2 linked regions of the Caenorhabditis elegans genome follow. The protein of the gene in region 2 purifies or fractionates together with the protein of the main gene of each other region. This does not show direct contact. Each region holds a gene or a part of one and is shown on either strand. Other genes may lie near its edges.

The links.
Region 1: the proteins of C30A5.10 (region 2) and T25D10.1 fractionate together in Caenorhabditis elegans (co-fractionation; one large-scale study listed by BioGRID). This does not show direct contact.

What each region holds. Positions count from the first base shown.
Region 1 is NC_003280.10:6,401,613-6,405,543, reverse strand, and holds T25D10.1 (uncharacterized protein), read right to left. Parts: upstream 2,144-3,931; 5' UTR 1,854-2,143; coding exon 1,685-1,853; intron 1,640-1,684; coding exon 1,473-1,639; intron 1,402-1,472; coding exon 1,302-1,401; intron 1,256-1,301; coding exon 1,126-1,255; intron 1,078-1,125; coding exon 1,004-1,077; intron 960-1,003; coding exon 853-959; intron 803-852; coding exon 566-802; 3' UTR 504-565; downstream 1-503. Other genes in the region: spp-11 (Saposin B-type domain-containing protein), read left to right, coding at 1-104; btb-2 (BTB domain-containing protein), read right to left, coding at 2,536-2,813, 2,855-3,005, 3,055-3,397, 3,445-3,539.
Region 2 is NC_003281.10:8,207,574-8,211,504, forward strand, and holds the start of C30A5.10 (uncharacterized protein), read right to left. Parts: upstream 2,296-3,931; 5' UTR 2,274-2,295; coding exon 1,759-2,273; intron 1,685-1,758; coding exon 1,537-1,684; intron 1,263-1,536; coding exon 1,191-1,262; intron 1,144-1,190; coding exon 901-1,143; intron 821-900; coding exon 705-820; intron 654-704; coding exon 546-653; intron 402-545; coding exon 314-401; intron 264-313; coding exon 159-263; coding exon of another isoform or gene 153-158; exon of another isoform or gene 93-152; coding exon 1-92.

The sequences.
Region 1 (3,931 bases), on a different chromosome or scaffold from region 2:
TGTTCAAAGGAAATATTATGGACACAATTTTCAAGGGATTCGATGGACTTAAGAAGAATCTTGAACCAGTTTCATTTTGTAAGCACGTACCTTTCTGTAAATAATTGTTTTCTGTCAATTATCAACTTGTTTCTCATAAAATTATTTTAATACAAACATATTAGTAGTATATTTTTATATTTCCAAAAATTGAAGTCTAGTTACCCTGCACGTGTTTTTTGGTTTTCAAGATACATATATCTTTTTCTATAAACTTGCACAATCAATTGATGAAGTTTAAGACACGTTTGTTATCAAGTTTATTATGAACTCAGCTGACTTAAAACATTAAAAACATCCGTGTTTTTGTATACAGGCAAATTAAATTGCCGATTTTTGGTTGTTCTTTTGGCTCTGACGCTGTCTTCTTCTGGGTGGAAATTTAATTTCAATTTTTGGCTCAAAAGCTGTGAGTAAAATGTGATCGACGTTGAACAGTTTTTTTTTCCTGAAAACTGCATATACACAGCCTTAATGAATTATTTATTCAAAACAAAAGTTAGTTATTGTACAAGATAAATCGAGATCATTGAATTTTTCTTGACAATTTCTTCCATTTTGGCGGGAAATAGTCTTCTTGGTTCGCCGTTCTATTTTTCGGGAACATGTCTGGATCAAAATAGAACACGTGGCTATTGTCATCTTTTGCCAAATATCCCATCCACCATCCATGTGTTGAATATGGAACTGTCAAGAATACAACATCACAATAGATTCTTGAAAAAATAATTTGCATTTCTGGTGAAGAACTGATCAATGAAAACTGAAAAATGATAACAAATTATTAAGAAAGTTTGTACTTACTAAACTCACTTTTTCAGTTTTGTATTTTCTGATTCTCGAGTTCGTAAAAATGAAACGAGTAAATTCCGGAAACGGGCTAGCAATTATCAACATAACATCCTCATATTCATTGGTATCTGAAAACGAACGGCTAAAAATGGTCAAGTTTCAATTAATTTACAATGATTCAGAATTTGTGCAATTGCTTTAACACTGCAGTTCTTATTGCTTTCTAATGTTGCATGCACACAAATTCTGAAATAAATAAATAAAAATAAATTTTAAAATGATCAAAATGCTTACTTGAAGTTGTTCCGTTGAGATTTTGTAATCAAATTTTGTGCTTCTAGAACACTTTCGGCGTCTTCCAATACCCACAAGCGAATGTCAGAACGCAAATTATCAAAATATTTAAAACTTTTGAATCCGTTCCCTGAATAAAAAACAATAGACTTCCAAACTATATTGATCACTCAAACCTTTGACCATCAGACTTGAAGATGTGTCCTCTGAGAACTTTGTAAGAGGATCTTCGTACGAACTATTCTCGATTCCAAGTTCTCTATTCACTGCTGTTGGCTAAAAATCAAATTTATCATCATTTGAAATAATACATTTAATTGTGAAAATTTTTATAAAAATGCACTTACTGGTTCAATAGCAATTAAAAATTGTTGCAGAATCGATGGAAATCTTGTAAACATTGCGTTTGAAAGAGTATCGATTAATTTTGAATTATTAGCAGAATTGATAACTGGAATTCGATAAAGAGTTTTTGCAACACCAAGATGAGAAAGTAGAGAGAATAATTGATCGCCTAAATGGAAATTTATTTTAAAGTATGATTTAAAAGATTACTTGCCTATTTCTCCAGTACTATGCTGAAATCGAATGGTCTTCTGTCTTCGAGAATATCTTCCAAATTGTGTCCGCTTATGAGGATATAGTGAAATGATTATAAGAAGAAGCACGATAATTGATATGATGCATATGATTCTTGATGAATTTAAATTACGTCTTCTTAAGAACATAGTTGGTTGGAACTGCAAATGGCTTTCCAAATCCCCGCAAAAAATATCCAAATACGTGAGTAGTACTGATAGTGAGTACCCGTGGAGGGTCTTTGTTTGTTTTCGTTCACTAACTCACTTCAAAAATAATAATGCAAGTTTAATATTTAAAAAAAAGTAAAATTGTTGAATAAAGAATTGACTGTCATGGTGAATAGAATGTCAGTGAACAAGTTCAAAGTGATAAGAGTCTACTTATATTGACACAAAAGATCAATAAAAGGGTGTAGCACTGGAAGAAAAGGTGTTTTAAACAAACATTACATTTATTTATATATAGTTACAGCGTTTTTTATTATCTAAAAAAACTCAATTTCCAGAATATTCGTCCATTTTCAATGTTGGTTCACGTCATAAGCCATACTTTAAGCCAAGCCAATATTTACCAATGTTTAAAAAAAGGTAACAAAAATAGTTATGAGCAGTATTCAGCACTGCCATCTGATTTCGGATATCTTCTGAGTTCTACACGATCTTAAATTTCTGGCTAGATTTTACTAGTTAAATGTAACTTTTTTGAATAAGAGATAATCTGTATAAAAAAACTTTCAAATGCGATGCATTTATTCTTCCATAATTATACCACGAAAATACAATAAATACATAAATTATACAATAAAAAAACTTCAATCTATACCATCCTTTAGATCAATTGCATGAGACGATACAGGAAGAGCACCTTCGTTTCATCTGATAAATTCCAGAACACTGCCGAGTTCTTGAGGTTCTTCATTTTTTGAGTAGTGTCCACTTCACTGATAATCTTTTCGATGATTGTACGCAAATTGAATTTGTCTGCCAAACGCATCAATTGATCCTGCTTCATTTTCGAAAAGTGGCACAAATGAGTCTCGATATGAGCCGTTACACGTGGCACCTGAAATTGATCGGCCAGCTCCAACATCTTTTCCAAATTATCATCTGAAATAATGAATTCATATTAGTTTGAAGGATTGGATCACCTTTCAATAAAGCTTCATTTCCATACAAAACTGCCAGCATTCTCGAGAAATCTTCATATGAAACTTCATACATTGGGATTTCAGTCAACTTTCCTTCTTTGAAATTCGAGGAGAACAGAGCTCGAAAATATTCAGAATGGAAGCTCAGCAACTGGAAAATTATAAATATAGGACACTGCAACTGCAAAAAAACATCTTACAGCTTTATTGACATGCATCTTTGTACCTCCGATCACTAAAACGGCATCATTCCTTTCAGATGGCTTGAAAAGTTCTTCCAAAGTTAATCCAGAATAATCGGATTCTTTGTAGAAAATTTTGTACTTGAAAGGAATGTTGTACAACCAGTCTTTAGAAGTTTCCAAATTAGATGTGCTGCGTTTTTCATCAACAGAAAAATCAATGCTTGGAACCAACTTGTCGTTGGTTTCCGGGGTGATTGTTCCAAACAAATGCTTGACCCCTTTCTTCTTCAATTCGTCCCATTTTAATTCCCATTCAAATCTATACTTATTCGAAGTAGTTTCTGAGACAAACAATGAGCTGAAAAAGTATTGTATTAGCCGAAGTGGAAAAATCTTGAAACTCACACATTGATTCCTCCACAGTTTGTATCACAGAATTTTCCAAGCACTGATTTAATCGAATATTTGTCGCTGTTGACTTCAACACATTTTATCTTCATTTTTTTTCGAAGTAGTTTCGTTTCGAAGTTTCGAAGTTTTCAAATTCTAACGAAAACAATTAGCACTGATCAAAAACTGAAGAGGAAGAAAAACTCGTGGGACACGTGGAAATAAAGCCAGATGTACGCAGAACGAGTGTCACGCTATTATGGCCTGTAATTAAATTTTTTTTATTAATTTTGAAATGTTTAGTTTACAGTAATAAGTGAAAATTTGTTAATAAGTGTCTCGCATATTCGTGGAAGTTGATCATCAAGCTTTAAAAACTATTAGCGACAAGAATCCGCTTGAAAAATCATATCTCGATGGGACTTCACGGGAACCGCAGAGGTAGAACAACAGATTAACTTTGAATAAATAGAGTATGGATATAATGAACTTGATTTTTCCT
Region 2 (3,931 bases):
TTCAACCAGAGATTCGGAAGCGATAGTTTTGGTATGTTTTCGGTTAGTTTTTTGATTTCCTCTTCATGATTAATTGGTGTTTTTGGAGTTATCTAAAACTTTTTAACTTTTATTGTATCGATTTTATTGTATCGATAAGTATCGATAATTTTTTAAACCGAAATCAAATGTTGCTCAAAAGTCGGCCAACTTTCAATGAACTTCCTTGATGTAGTCCATCGTTGATCTTGCATTGAAATAAATACAAAACGGCCGGCGATAACCTTTAAGTTTTTAGAAATAACATGTTGTGTTCAATTGGAAATCTTTTTACCATCTCCGAGCGTAGCGCTTTAGTCATCTGAATCCACGTGTCTTCTGATAAAAGAGCCACTACAATTCTAGCTTCTGATAGTAGTAATCTTAAAAAACAGGATATGAAGAGGGATGGTAAACTACGCCTTGAACAAGTCAAGAAAAAGAATCATTAAACTTTATTTTAAAACATTCAGTTTGAGTCCCATTATGGCCATAGTTTTTTCACGATTAGAAATTAATTTTCATACCTTCTAACCACCATTTCTGAAACCGTACTGCTTGCATTCTTCACATGAATCGCGACTTCTACGCATATTCCTTCTGTTAGAGCAACTTGCTGGAACTCACTTACGGATCTGAAACGCAGATAACTTTTTTCAAAAGTATGTACAAAGTAACAAACTTACTCTGAATATTTTTCATCAAAAATAATGTTAACACAAGTACTCTGGTAATGACGAAGTGCTGATATAATTGATTGAATTGGGAGAAACATTGATGGCAAAGTTCCAGATGTTTGCACCTAGAAACAACTTTTTGATAGAAATAATTGTTCTTTTCGAACGTTCTCAGTACAACTTCCTCTTTAAAAGAATAACCCACCGCCGATCTCGTTGTGAAAAATGTGTTGACAACTGGTAAATTGAGCTGTCTTATAATCTGTTCAGTATTTGGCATAAATGTTGAATCATCTCGAATAATTGCAATAAGATCACTTTTTTGAATATTTGTCCCCGATAAAAGTTCATAAAGATCAGCAACTGAACGAAGATCCGTTGAACATGAATCAACAATAATTGCTCCAATATCTACACCAATTTCTTTAAGAAGATTTGATTCGTTTATCTGTAAGTTTTTCGTGTTTTTATAAACTCATAATTTCGGTTGTTTACAGTTTTTTGTGCTTCCAAAAATGCAGCCATTCTGACAATTGCGTTCACATCGATTTCTCCGCATTCAAAGTTCTGAACTCGTTTATTAATTATTAAAGTGTAAAGAAATTCAAAATTTTAATATCTACAGAAAAGGAGGTTTCAATAAAACGTTTTGAAATTAATACTTTTATCAAACACAAATTCTGTGAAAATTGGAATTTTTGGTATCACATGTGTAAATTTATCTGCATATTTTGTGATAATTCTGAATATTGTAAAAATTTTTAGAGTGATTTAAAATGCAAACTCAAACTACCAAGATTACCAAGATTTAACCAAGATTTTAATTAAAAAAGGGAAAAACCTGTTGCCCAGAAGATTGATGAATTGGAATAATTGCAAGAATATAAAGTCGTCGAGAAGATGGAATAATCAAAACATCATTTAAAAGTCGATGAGATAACACTGATAACTGGGCGGAGTCAAAAGAAGTTGCTGATGACTTTGAGGATCTGAAAGTACTATGTATTAGAAAAATATTCAATGAGAAAACGTGTTCTAAAATATTACTTAAAATTTAACTAACTTTTGATTCAATTTCGATGGTTTTGGATTCTTCGACAACTTCATTGGAGACTTCGATGTTGTCCATAATGTTTCTGTGTTCTTTTTGACAGATTTTGTTGTAGTTTGATAAGTTGGTGGCATAGTTGTAGTTGAGGTAGTTGTTGAAGCAGTAGTAGTTGATGGAAATGTACTTGGATTCTGATAACTTTGAAATGATATTGTGCTCGCTGCTGGACTTGATGATGGATTTGTAGAAACTGGTGGATTCCATGCTACTTGAGATACTGTAGATTGTGGTTGCTGCCAAAATGCACCTGATGACGCAATGTTAGCCATTGGAAAGTCGACAAAACTATTTGGGGGATTCACAAAAATGTCAGTGTAAGGATTAATTGCAGCTTGAGCTTGACTAATCATTTGTGGATCAATTGTTGGAAGAGCATTATTGATAATTTGACGATAGTTATTTGAACGAAAATCCAATAATTCCACAGATAACACAACTAGTAGAAATAAGAATACCAATCTGATCATCCTGTTCAGGACAACAGACAAAACTTTAAGAATCAAGAAAAGAAGTGCACAACGAAATTGGAGACTATTCGGGAAAAAAGGGGATGAATTCAAAACAATGCTTAGCGGGGGAACGGAAAGGAGGAGTCGCCTGTTTGGTCACTTTTGTGTTTGCGAGGAGTCGCTGCTTCTCGTCAGATTAGGCGGGTTAACAAGCAGGTCGCCACCGGCAAAACCTTCTCAAAATTCAAAACAATGCACATGGCGACAGAGACAAGAAAAAGGTTAAAAACATAAAGAAGACAAAAAATGCTGGGAACTTGATTTAAAAAATTATAGGAGTGCTAAAATGACTAAATATCATTGTAAATCATTTCACAAAATTTTTTATTTTTTTCAAATTTTCCGTTAAAATTGGGAGCTTTTCAGTTGCACCACATAACTTTGGAAGTCGGTCAAAAAAGTAGTTTTTCAAATATTTTAATTATGCTTGAGTTTATTGTATTTAATACTTCACACAATTACAGAAAAAATTCGTATTTGACTTGTTAAAAAATGTTCTCTTCTTTTTTTTGAAAAGATAAACAATTTCTTGAATATACCGCAATACAACTACACAGAACGTCATAAAATCGAGATTAATTTTATGTTTTTTGAATTTTCTACTTCAAGGGGTCTACTCTAGTGATTCTGGAATTTTAAGGATATTTATTCAAACAAAGAAAATAGAAAATCCCAATAAAGTTTTCATATTATAAATTATCTAAATAGTTAGACTAAATGTTTCTTTTCCTGTCTGAATACAGTTTTGGACAGACGTAGGCAAATATTCAACAGTATTATTTTGTTTAAAGCTTCCAACCCACCTGGAACACCAGGGAAAATACTTTTATTCACATTTAAACTTTAATATTTTTCCGTCTAATGCGTTTATTTGTGAGAACAAATATATAAATAATACGCCTGAATCAATTAATCGACCTCCGCTCATCGACTTCATTGTTTTATTTTTTTACGGGATTGCTCTCGGAGCACCTACAACTTTTTTCTCCGCTTCATTGTTTGTTTTTTCTTCTTTTCACACAAAAGTTGTTTCTTTTTTCGGGAGCTTGCAATCTTTTTGGATTATCCTGGAACATATGTACATTTTTGAATTTTTCTATTTTTCAAATACTATGAATTCCGGTTATTATTTGTGTTGTAAAGATGAAAAGGGTGAAAGATCGGCATATTTATCACGCAATTTAAAATTTTAAAACATTTAAATTTTCAAATAAATTTGATTTTGTGCATTTCGTTGAACTAGCAAAGAAATATAATTTTAAAAAAAGTAATGCGTAACTCTACACTATGCAAGCATCAATCGCCGACTTTTGTGCCAGAACCCACAAGTAGGCGGCAGGCAGGCAGACAGGTAACTAATTTATGTTAGAAGTATAACTTAAAATTATAAAATCAACACACTTGAAACTTATAACTTTTGAAAAACAAGTAATTTATTCACATTTTTGTTCCAAAAGAACACTCTATTCGTTTCTTCTTCAATTATTAATTGGCCTATGAAAATTTCATATAATTTTTGACTCGGCCCGCTATTTTTCTCCTTTTTTCTCCCTTCTTGAATAATTCCAATTGAATGTTCAGTACTTATTTCTAAAAATTTCATTTTGAATCGTCGG